Linked DNA regions of Arabidopsis thaliana. The protein of the gene in region 1 interacts with the protein of each later gene in a biochemical or structural test. Each region holds a gene or a part of one and is shown on either strand. Other genes may lie near its edges.

What was found.
Region 2: the proteins of PEX7 (region 1) and PEX5 form a complex in vitro, tested with the Arabidopsis thaliana proteins (one study listed by BioGRID).

Annotation. Positions count from the first base shown.
Region 1 is NC_003070.9:10,222,972-10,227,015, forward strand, and holds PEX7 (peroxin 7), read left to right. Parts: upstream 1-1,843; 5' UTR 1,844-1,951; coding exon 1,952-2,905; 3' UTR 2,906-3,351; downstream 3,352-4,044. Other genes in the region: AT1G29250 (Alba DNA/RNA-binding protein), read right to left, coding at 490-585, 710-774, 875-937, 1,171-1,219, 1,502-1,621. UniProt on the Arabidopsis thaliana protein: Receptor required for the peroxisomal import of proteins containing a C-terminal PTS2-type peroxisomal targeting signal. Specifically binds to cargo proteins containing a PTS2 peroxisomal targeting signal in the cytosol.
Region 2 is NC_003076.8:22,784,490-22,792,766, forward strand, and holds PEX5 (peroxin 5), read left to right. Parts: upstream 1-2,006; 5' UTR 2,007-2,165; coding exon 2,166-2,285; intron 2,286-2,570; coding exon 2,571-2,699; intron 2,700-2,795; coding exon 2,796-2,928; intron 2,929-3,278; coding exon 3,279-3,472; intron 3,473-3,934; coding exon 3,935-4,186; intron 4,187-4,523; coding exon 4,524-4,643; intron 4,644-4,945; coding exon 4,946-5,107; intron 5,108-5,462; coding exon 5,463-5,644; intron 5,645-6,014; coding exon 6,015-6,249; intron 6,250-6,346; coding exon 6,347-6,431; intron 6,432-6,547; coding exon 6,548-6,657; intron 6,658-6,744; coding exon 6,745-6,969; intron 6,970-7,048; coding exon 7,049-7,114; intron 7,115-7,207; coding exon 7,208-7,302; intron 7,303-7,404; coding exon 7,405-7,483; 3' UTR 7,484-7,817; downstream 7,818-8,277. Other genes in the region: CSN6A (COP9 signalosome subunit 6A), read right to left, coding at 1-5, 125-186, 386-479, 566-654, 744-1,041. UniProt on the Arabidopsis thaliana protein: Receptor that mediates peroxisomal import of proteins containing a C-terminal PTS1-type tripeptide peroxisomal targeting signal (SKL-type).

The DNA.
Region 1 (4,044 bases):
ATAACCTTATTGCACACTATAATACTTTCTTATATTTCTTCTAGTATGGTTACGTTTTAGTGTTAAACTAAAAGAACTGACAAAAAGAAAAAAATTAGATATAGCCATTAGTTATAACTTATAGCTCATGATGTCACATATGTATCATGTGGCTTACATTTGTTCAATTATCCCAGAGATAGTGATTTGTTATCCATAAGCCATATCACTAACCTTTTTTATGGACAGATTCCAAGTCTTCAAAATAAAATTTCAACTACATGTATTACTCTACATAATAAGGTTGGAAGCTGATTTATGCAACGAAGCCATCTTTTTTATACTTCCTACGATCTTTAAATAAAAATGCTCAGAGGTACAGAGGACACAATCCAAGGTGAAATAAAAAAGTGAACCAAAAATTAACGAAATAGAAGTGTCTTAAAATTAAGCAGATAGAGATAGGGAACGAAGAAATAAGATCGTTGAACAGAAAAAACTTGAAACAATCTAGTTTTGCTCTTGGGCTTCTGCAGCCTCCTTCTCTTCATTAGCTGCAGCCATTAGTTCATCAAACTTCTCAGACTTGGCAAGCGTGATCTCAATCTACAAGTCACAGTGTCACCAATTTAGCAACCAACATAGCAATTTCCCAGAGAACAAAAATCATTAGACGGAAGCTAGAATTCCACAGCATAAGCAATTTATCAAATGATTCGAAAATATATACCTTAGCTTTCTGCACAGGACGACCCCTTGAATCATCCTTGATATCCACAGTCGATGTCATGATCTCTGCAGGAAAAAACAATATCCAAATAAGCAAAACTTAGTCACTGAATCTTTCAAATCTCTTGTGCTAACATTAACTCATTCAAGATTAAGAAGATCTTACTCTTTTCAACAGCAAAGCCATTGTTCTTCAATATCTCAGCGACCGTAACAACAGTGGCAATAGCTGCACAACGCACAAATCAATGTTTTATGAGAAACCAGAATAAACTCTTCCAATAAAGAAAGCTCGGATAAGATATTACAAAATCACAGAAGATAAAAGATTCTATGTCATAACAATAAAAGGAAACAGCTTTTCTGATAATAACTTTGAATTTAATGAACTCAGTTACATAGTTTAAAAACCATACATATTAGATTTGATATATAAACAAGATCATAAAGAATAAACATTACCCATTCCTAGTGCAGACAATTCGACATCAGTGTACTGCTGCATGTACCTCTGTTAACAAAACACCAAACATGGTCAATAACATAAACAGGTTTAATCAAATCTAAAGAGCAAAACAAAGTTCACAAATCTAAGGAACAAACATTGATAAAGAGTCACATAAACAACACAGAACCACCAGTAATAACTCATCAAAGTCAATAACAGATAAATTAACACTCATGAACAATCACAGACATTTCCAGACTTGGTACTCAAATAAGAACACTTCGAATCCATAGATTTCAATCTAAATACGAATTTATTAAGATTCGATTAAAAGGGTTTCGTTACCTTGGCGAGATTGACGTAGAAGAACAATGGTTTCTTAGTGTTGGAAACTTGAATCCGATTCTTCTTCTGGGTATCAACAGCCAAGTTCATGTTGTTAACTCCTTCCGTGATCTCTTCCATTGAATCTAACTCAGAAAAATTAAAACTTCTCCTCTCGAATTTAGATTTCTCTCTCACTTTTATCTCAGAAAACGAATGAAATTGAAGAGACAGAGAGACGACGATGAAGCTTGAACCAAACCCCCAAAAAACCCTAACTTGAAATGCCAAACGACATCGTTTTAACACAACCTACACAAATGGGCTAGGCTCCAGCCCAATAGGCCCAATTGGGGGGAAAATTAATTCTGCGATGAGCAAAATCGGCGTTATCCGATCAGATCGTTGAATTGAATCTTCGAGAAGACTCTTCTTTTGATTCAATCACTCACCGGAGAAGAAGAAGAAGCTATGCCGGTGTTCAAAGCTCCGTTCAATGGCTACTCTGTGAAATTCAGTCCATTCTACGAGTCACGCCTCGCCGTCGCTACAGCTCAGAACTTCGGAATTCTCGGAAACGGCCGAATCCATGTCCTCGAGCTCGCTCCTGGAGCTCCAGGCGTAACTGAATCCGTCTCGTACGATACAGCCGACGCTGTATACGACGTATGTTGGTCAGAATCTCATGACTCTGTGCTCATCGCCGCAATTGGTGACGGCTCAGTGAAGATTTACGACACAGCTCTTCCTCCTCCTTCTAATCCGATTAGATCATTCCAAGAGCACGCGCGTGAGGTTCAATCTGTGGATTACAATCCCACGCGGCGCGATTCGTTTCTCACTTCTTCGTGGGATGATACGGTTAAGCTTTGGGCTATGGATCGTCCGGCGAGTGTAAGGACTTTTAAGGAACATGCTTATTGCGTTTATCAAGCAGTTTGGAATCCTAAACATGGTGATGTGTTTGCTTCTGCTTCTGGAGATTGTACTTTAAGGATTTGGGATGTTAGAGAACCTGGATCAACTATGATCATCCCTGCTCATGATTTTGAGATTTTGTCTTGTGATTGGAATAAGTATGATGATTGTATTTTAGCTACTTCTTCAGTGGATAAGACAGTTAAGGTTTGGGATGTTAGGAGTTATAGAGTTCCTTTGGCTGTGCTTAATGGTCATGGATATGCGGTGAGGAAGGTGAAATTCTCGCCGCATAGGAGGAGTTTGATAGCTTCTTGCTCTTATGATATGAGTGTTTGTCTTTGGGACTATATGGTGGAAGATGCTTTGGTTGGTAGGTATGATCATCATACAGAGTTTGCTGTTGGGATCGATATGAGTGTTCTTGTTGAAGGTTTAATGGCGAGTACTGGTTGGGATGAGCTTGTTTATGTTTGGCAGCAAGGGATGGATCCTAGAGCCAGTTGATTCATAAGTAAGTTTGTGATTGCAAAACAGTTTCATCTTTATTTGTTGTGGAATTGGTTTGGTTTTTGTTAAAGGAATGTAGTTGGAATAAAGTTGGGATCTTGCTTAAGAAGAAATGTAAGTTACTGAGAGTTTCACATATGAACAAGGTTATCTTTCGAATTGTGATTGATGGTAATAGTAGATAGATTGCTTATGTTCTAGTGTATATGTTAACCTGTTACAATGAGACCTGATTAACATATATATTAGGACTAAGATATATGTTAATCTTCTATAATGTCCAAAGTAATGACATAATATATATAAAGTCAATTACTTTAGGGTAATGTACCTTTTATAGTATACTGTAGAATTCGAATTTTGTTCTTTTTCATAGTTGATTGACTTTATTGAGTGGCATAAATGTACATATTTATAACTTTCTAGAGCATATTGCAGTTTCGAGCTTTTGCATTTTATGCGTCTTCAGGTAGAAGCTTATTAAAATCACAAGAACATTCTTACGGATCTTCCATTTCAAGAATCACTTTCTACTTATTACTTTACTATTATACCACTCTCTTTTTTATCTTATTCCATAGTATTAAAGATTCTTTTATTTTCTTATGATTTTTTTTTTAATATAGTACTCCGATCCCAAACAAAAGATCTCAAAACACATTTTGTCAAGTCACAAGACTCACAACCGTCTCAACTTTTGGACTAAATTCAAATCAGACAAATAATTGGGTTAAACATATGAAAGGGCTTGACATTATATCATATAGTATTAAAGTGAACTATAATATTGCTTTATCCACGAGGTCAAGAACATACTATATGTAATAGACACACATTAGTATTGACTTTTTATGTTAAAACTAGAGATTAAATTTTGTGAATTTAAATGACACATGTACGATCTTTTACTTTTGTTGTGATGCACGCGGAAGATGTTGCGAAGGATTAGAAATTGTTAAAAGAGAAGAAGGTGGTAGACTGCTCTTCATTTAGGAATATTTCTGACCATAAAACTTGTGGCATGGAAGATTATTCCTAAGAAATTATACGAAGAAGAGATCATTGTCGGAATAAAACATCGGTCTTATTTACAATGCAGTAGCATTGTACCGTGGAATATGCTTCTTTCCAAGTTT
Region 2 (8,277 bases), on another chromosome or scaffold:
ACTGTCTACATTGTATAACACCTCAAAATCTTAGTCAATGTACACTTTCATAACATAGATTAAATTGCAGAATGTTTGACAAAAAAAAAAAAAATTATTTGCAGAATCAAACTTAAGCACAGACCTCGATTGTGTAGCTTGTATGAGCGAAAATTAGCTGCGGGATTCCATCAATGACATGCAATTCTTCAAGTAATGAAGATCAATCAATGAAACAAAGAGAAAAGTTAGGATCTTGTAAAACAATCTGACCTAAATCTGGAAGTCAATAAAGATAAAGACTTGGGAAGATATCTAGAAACTCTGAACTACGCATATACCTATACTAACATGCTAACATATCAGAATGTACCCACAGAACCATATGACATTATAAGAAGCATACCACTTTCATAAATAGTCACTGGAAGATCCTTCTGTGTGTGATTGATAGCAGGGTTTAAAAGCACATAAACAGGAGATTCATTGATATCCATCAACTGTCACCAAGAGCAGACACAAAAACCACACTTTTAGAGACCAAATCTCAATTATACAAAAATACTAGAGAGAGCATTGGACTCACAGCTTTATGGATATGCATATCAGATTCCTCAGCATCACTTCCCGTAGAGTACCATCCCAGAATATAGAAATCAGGGAACACCTTCTTATCTAATAAACAATAAAACCAGATAAAAGTTCAAACTTTAATTTACGATTGCATCAATAGTTGAGAATAAAAAGAGTGAGCTTTAGCTTACAGAGCTCTTGCTTCTTCTCGAGGAAAGATCTATCAAGGGTTTGAGTAGAAGGATCATATAAAAGCTCGAAACTGTTGAATATCTCAACAGTACGACCTCTCTGGACACCGATCACACATCCGTAAACCCTAGGGTTTTGCTGGAACATTGCTTCGCCGTTGTTTGAGCCATGGCCGCTTGCGCAGATTGAAGCAGGAGGATTGAGCTGAGTTTTGACCCTAGTGTAGTGATCCGATATGTTGACGATTACCAAAGGATGTAGCTTGAAGGTTAAACCGCTTGATGACGAAGGTGCCATTGTCGATCTCTCTCTCCTTTGATGAATTCTTTGGTTTTTGGGTTTTTAGTTTTTTTATGAAGATTTTTTTTATTTAAATCAATGTGGATTCGGATCCTAGATCGGGTCTTCCGGGTCAACTATATGGATATTAGTTTTTTCTGTATGGGCCGAGCGTAGGACTTATATATGCGGTTGGGCCTCATGACTTGTTTTTCCAATTACATTTTTTCATTTTGGAAACTAATTATATTAATTAACAAACGAAAATAAGATAAACCAAACGATTGAGACTCATAAAATCAGATATCTGAAGTTGACAAAAAATGTACTAGAAATTTGAAAACAGACAACATTCATCAAATTTTTCAATATGAAAGTTCAATAGTTCAGTGGTTAGACTAAAGGTTATAATTTTTTCCACAAAATGTTTGATTTCTAGTGTGTAAATTCTTGCAAGTTAATGAAAGGAAAAAAAAATCTAGAGATGCCTAGCATATTGTAACTATTGTTGATGTAGATGAATTTTTTTTTTTTTTTTAGTTATTGATGAAATTAGTGAAGTCATGTTGGTCGTCCAAATGTGTGATATGAGTACAAGAGTAGAATCTACCTTCGTTTGTAACGCATTGCACAATCAATCAAGAAATATAACTAAACCCAGCAAAAATCAAGCAATATAATTTATTTATCTTTGGTATGATCAAGCAAATATAATTCAACACTAATAGGAAACTACAAAATTCAAAAGTGGCAGCAAATCGGACAAAAAGATAAAACATATCTTGATAAAGAAAGATAAAAAAAAACTATATTCACAACAATTCATTTTTAATTACGGATACTGTAAAAAACGGTTTTTTCACAAAAATAAATAACTAAACAAAAATGTGTTGGTGAGCCTAAAAATGTGTGTGGTGTGGATAATATATAAATATTAATTACCAAAATACTATCAAAAAATTTAATAATTTCTTACGAAGCTGTGACCAAACACAACAAACAAAAAAAACACCGCCACGAGACGAGCCAAACTAAAGATTAGGATTTGGGAGGTTGATGATCAATTCCGGACAACGGAGGAAACCATACTGATAGATTCAACGACGGTGATTGCGGCGGAGGAGTAGAAACCCGTTGGAAACATGGCGATGAGAGACCTTGTTAACGGCGGAGCCGCTTGTGCCGTTCCTGGTTCGTCTTCTTCTTCTAATCCTCTCGGAGCTCTCACCAACGCTTTACTTGGTTCGTCTTCCAAAACCCAGGTTAGCTTCCTGATTCCTTTTTGATCGAAACAGTGTTGACATTTGAAGTCTCCTGATTCCATTCTTCGCCTTTTCCTTGGTTCTCCTGGAACTAAGAAGTCGAATTAGATCTCATTTTTCGTTGGGTTTTGTTATTTGCTTGCCAAGTTTCGATTTTTCTTTCCGTAGTGTTAGGGTTTTAGACGTTCTTCGATTATGTCAAGTGATTTGGCTGACAATTGTTTAAAGGTTTAAAATTTCCTGAGAATTTGAAGAAATGTTGATGATTGGTGATTTGTTGTGCAGGAAAGGCTCAAGGAGATACCTAATGCAAACCGGTCAGGTCCTCGGCCACAATTTTACTCTGAAGACCAACAGATAAGGTCACTTCCTGGTTCTGAGTTAGATCAGCCACTTCTGCAACCGGGTGCTCAGGTTAATGTTGTGGAAAGTTTTGGTTTTACAATGGTAGTATTGACTCTGATTATCTAGCCTCTGTGATGGCTGATGGGTTTGCAATTTTTACATTAGGGGTCAGAGTTCTTCCGTGGTTTTCGCTCTGTTGATCAGAATGGTTTGGGTGCAGCTTGGGATGAGGTACAGCAAGGTGGACCTATGCCTCCAATGGGACCTATGTTTGAGCCAGTTCAGCCTACATTTGAAGGTTTGTGATTTGATCTATACCACTTTTATTTAATCCCGGATACAAAACGGTTAGATGTAGTGGTTTTGATATTGAATAAAAGGTAGTATATATTTTCACATATTCATCTTGAATCGAGAAGTACATAACATTATTTTTGTAGGAAGAGAAGTTAACACTGAAAGTGTTAGTTAGTAATTTAGTATAGCGACATGAAATAAATAGTGTGGTCATTTCTTTCCATGAGTCCTATTTCTCCTGAATGACACGTTGAATATTCATAGCTCTGTCTTAGTTATATAGCCTAATGTCGAGTGAGGCATTTTTCGTTTGCTTGCTTGATTAGTTTTTCCATTGCTTATATATTGCAGGACCCCCACAGAGAGTTTTATCAAACTTTCTGCATTCATTTGTTGAGAGTAGCCGTGGTGGTATTCCATTTCGTCCAGCACCTGTTCCAGTTCTAGGATTGTCACAAAGTGACAAACAATGTATACGTGATCGTAGTAGCATAATGGCCCGGCATTTTTTTGCCGATAGGGGAGAGGAATTTATTAATTCTCAGGTTTGCCATTTATCTGATAGTGTTCTGTAGCTGCAACATTGTGTTATATGCTTTCAACTTAGGTTTTAAGGGTCGAGTATATACTTAATATTTTGGTGTTATATCATTCATGCCCATTGCCCTTTTGAAATCAAGATCTATTCAATTATATAACGAAGTGTAATTACAAGAAAGTTCAGGTCCACTCTCCTTCATCTTGAGTTTAAATCAAAATGTAACATTTTGGAATGCAACGAGGTAGCACTGTCACTGTCATATATCACAATCATCTGTGGGTCAGGGCTTTTGTTTGGGAATTATAGCTGTTGTTTTACTTGGTAATTGTTCCTATCTAGTATGGATTTCTCGAGACCATGCCAGCTGTGCAGTATAGTTAAGCCTTTTGTTTGTTGCCGATGGCCTAAGCCGTTTTCTCTTCTCCATGTCGTTGGCTGAATATTTTGTTCGGCATTGTTTTTCAAGGTAAACGCATTATTGTCATCTTTAGATATTGATGATGGGATACAAGCTCGAGGTCATGTTCCCGGGAGATTTCGGGAGCTAGATGATTACTGGAATGAGTCTCAAGCTGTTGTGAAACCTAATTTACATCCTGCTGACAATTGGGCGGCTGAATTTAACCAACATGGGATGGATCATGGTGGTCCTGATTCATGGGTCCAGTCTTTTGAGCAACAACATGGTGTGAATGGGTGGGCTACTGAGTTCGAGCAGGTAACTAGCATAAATAGCTATATGATAGAAACTTTTTCCTTCAGTTGTTTGAAACTTCTCTTTGATTGCCCATCCCAAACATATGTTTATAAGCTTTCAATGAGTATCAAAGACATTATGAGGGCATTTATTTTGGTAGTGTAGACTTTGATTTCGATAGTCACTAGGGCATAGTTGTTCACAAGCCTGAATCTGTTGTGACTTTTTTTATGCTGTATTAGTCATCAGTGTTTGAGTCGCATTTGATATCCCAACAGCTTGGCTTTCTGATAATTTATCATGTTCTTCTGAAAATATTTGGCGCCTCATCCTTTTTATTTTCTTGAACTTTCTAAAGGGTCAATCTCAATTGATGTCAAGCCAAATGAGAAGTATGGATATGCAAAATATAGCTGCAATGGAGCAGACTCGTAAGCTTGCCCATACACTATCTCAAGATGGGAATCCGAAATTTCAGGTCAGTATAACCTACCATTAATAATTATGTGCTTTCGAAGTGAATTCCTTCATTTCTAAACAGCCTTTGATAGTAGTATCAGTCGGTCAGGTTGCTGTAAACTGTACTGTTGGACGACATATCTCTTTTCTGGGCTGTGATCTTTTACTGAACATAGAATTTTTTTTTGTTGGTCTATGTTCTAGAATTCGAATATCTCTGAAATCATATCACAAATTTTAATTATGCTTTTCCTGTTGACTTCATGTGCTGAGCTGTTCTCGATTTATGTAAAACTTGGCAAACATGTTTGGTGAATGCAGAATTCAAGATTCCTTCAGTTTGTTTCCAAGATGAGCCGTGGTGAACTTATTATTGATGAGAATCAGGTCAAGCAAGCTTCAGCCCCCGGGGAATGGGCTACTGAATATGAACAGCAGTATCTGGGGCCACCAAGTTGGGCTGATCAATTTGCAAATGAGAAAGTATGTATTTATTTAATGAAGTATCTGTTCACTTTAGGGTCTTACTTGCCACTTTAGCATGCTAATGTAATTGATTTATTGGTATACCTTTGTCTTGGATGGCCTTTGTATCCGCAATTGAAGCTCATGATGATAGGTTTAGTAATCTCGTGATTTTATATCTGTAACCTCTCTATAGTGGAAAGGCTTCAGCTTAGATCTCTCTTTGCACATTTTTCCAATGGTTCCTTATAGTTACAGAATCTGAAGTCCTGACATGTTAGAAAGTATATTGACAACGTATCATCTCTTTTTTCTCTTTTATAAGACGCATCACCCTGCATCTAACATAAGCTTCTACTTTGGTGTGTTACAGCTTTCACATGGACCAGAACAGTGGGCTGATGAGTTTGCTTCCGGGAGAGGACAGCAAGAAACAGCCGAGGACCAATGGGTTAATGAGTTTTCAAAGTTGAATGTTGATGACTGGATAGATGAATTTGCTGAAGGTCCCGTGGGTGATAGTTCAGCTGATGCATGGGCAAATGCTTACGATGAGTAAGTCCACTGTACTCTAATTGATCTATAATTTAAGTTCTCTTCTTCTTTTTTTCATTCTTCACAAATCTTATAAGTTCCCTTTCAATTCCATTCTGTTATCCTTGTGGGGGTAGGTAAGTGCAGACACAATGGGTGTTTTCAACTTATTTGTTACTTTTCCCCTATGCATTTCTCTCTGGTTCCTTAATCCTTGCTTAGGCGAACCTATTTTTGCAACTATGCAGTTTCATATCTACCATTATGATTCGCCTGTTTAAGGGATTATTTCTGATAACCTCCTAATTTTTATCTATGGAGTCTAACAATGTTTATCCAACATGCATCTTTGACTTTTAAGTTCATCTAACAAAAGTATGTGCCTTTCTAGGTTTCTGAATGAGAAAAATGCTGGAAAACAAACCAGTGGTGTCTACGTCTTCTCTGACATGAATCCTTATGTGGGTCACCCTGAACCTATGAAAGAAGGGCAAGAATTGTTTCGAAAAGGACTTCTGAGTGAAGCAGCGCTTGCTCTAGAAGCTGAGGTTATGAAAAACCCTGAGAATGCTGAAGGTTGGAGATTACTTGGGGTCACACACGCAGAGAACGATGATGATCAACAGGTTAGTTAGATTAATTTGCATGAATATTAATCTCCTATACCTTATCAAAATGATGAAACTTAGTCAATTTTCAAAACAATTGTCGTTGTGGATGCAGGCAATAGCTGCAATGATGCGTGCACAGGAGGCTGATCCCACAAATCTAGAGGTGCTTCTTGCGCTTGGTGTGAGTCATACCAACGGTCAGTGCATGTTATCTAGCAATATGTGTTTGTTTTGTTCACATATATGGATACTTGTGGTCATACATTTTTTGGAATTAGATTGGTAATTAAAATCTTGTTCTCTGTAACTACAGAGTTAGAGCAAGCAACTGCTTTGAAATATCTATATGGATGGCTGCGAAATCACCCAAAGTATGGAGCAATTGCGCCTCCGGAGCTAGCGGATTCTTTGTACCATGCTGATGTAAGTGCTCTTTCTTTTCTAAATTCTCCACAGTTGAATCTCAATATTTGTATTGAAACTTGAATTCCTTGTCTATGCTATAAACAGATTGCTAGATTATTCAATGAAGCTTCTCAGTTGAATCCTGAGGACGCCGATGTGCATATAGTGTTGGGCGTGCTCTACAATCTGTCGAGAGAGTTCGATAGAGCAATCACATCCTTCCAAACAGCATTACAACTAAAACCAAACGATTATTCTCTGTGGAATAAGCTAGGTGCAACGCAAGCCAACAGTGTCCAGAGTGCTGATGCCATATCTGCTTATCAACAGGTTCTGTTCTACGCACAGAAATCAAAACTTCTCAAAGTTTTATATTTCCGTCTCTTTCTGACTGTTTTTTTACTTGCAGGCTCTAGATTTAAAACCAAATTATGTTCGTGCTTGGGCAAACATGGGAATCAGTTACGCAAACCAGGTTTGATTTCAGTCTTTGTTTCTTGTTTGATGGTTGTTTATGGACTGGAACCAACTGAAATGTGGTATGCTATCATGTTTGTTATTGTAACAGGGGATGTACAAAGAATCAATCCCGTATTATGTCCGTGCCCTTGCGATGAATCCTAAAGCTGATAACGCATGGCAATACTTGAGACTCTCGTTAAGGTACAGTATAAGCTCGTAAACTCGAAAAACGCCATTTAAATTCCGATGCGATTTCTTACAAAGTCAGTTGATATTTTGGAACTTTGTTAAAACATAATGCAGTTGTGCATCAAGGCAAGACATGATAGAAGCTTGTGAGTCAAGGAATCTCGATCTCTTGCAGAAAGAATTCCCGCTGTGAGTAGACAAAGCAGACGATTAAAACCCTAAATCCACATGAAAATCTTACAAAGACGTTACGTCTTTTTGTTGTTTAGTTTTGTAAAAACTACAATTTAAAAATAAAAACTATGGGTTGAAAATTAATAAAATTGTTATTGTTTTTACCCTCGTAAAATAATGCAAAGAATCAGTAAGCAAAAAGGAATTGATACATTCATGATGCATTGTATAATGTATTGTAATAACTTGTCTTGGTCCAGAGAGAGAATGTATTTGTAATAACTTGACACTGACTTCAGAATTGGACGTAAAGTGACACATTCATGCATTGTATCAAACATTGTTAATCTGAATATATATATGGTCCCAAAATTAGTACTTAAGTGGGAATATATATCGTGGTCCAAAAAAACTTGAGTACAGAGATAACATTATTTGAATCGAATATGTTGTACTATAGAGTTTTTCTCAATCCTGTAAGGTTGGACCTATATATGCTCTAATTGCTAGTCTTTGTCTTAAACTATGAATGGGTGGGACTAATTACATATTTTAAACGCTATGCATAATGCATTTGACCTAGTTTTCTGCAGCGCACCGAAAACTTTGATGAACAGTGCAAAACGTGATAAACATATGAAAAACATTGCAAAAAAAGATTCTTACACTTGAATCCGCAGAATATCTCAGAGAAACAGTTACTTGCTAAGTGTTTTTATACACATAACCAACTAGATTATATAAACGACATTGAAACAACTATGAATTATTTTAACGTAGGAACTAGGAAGTGATACTTGAATAGAATGAGCC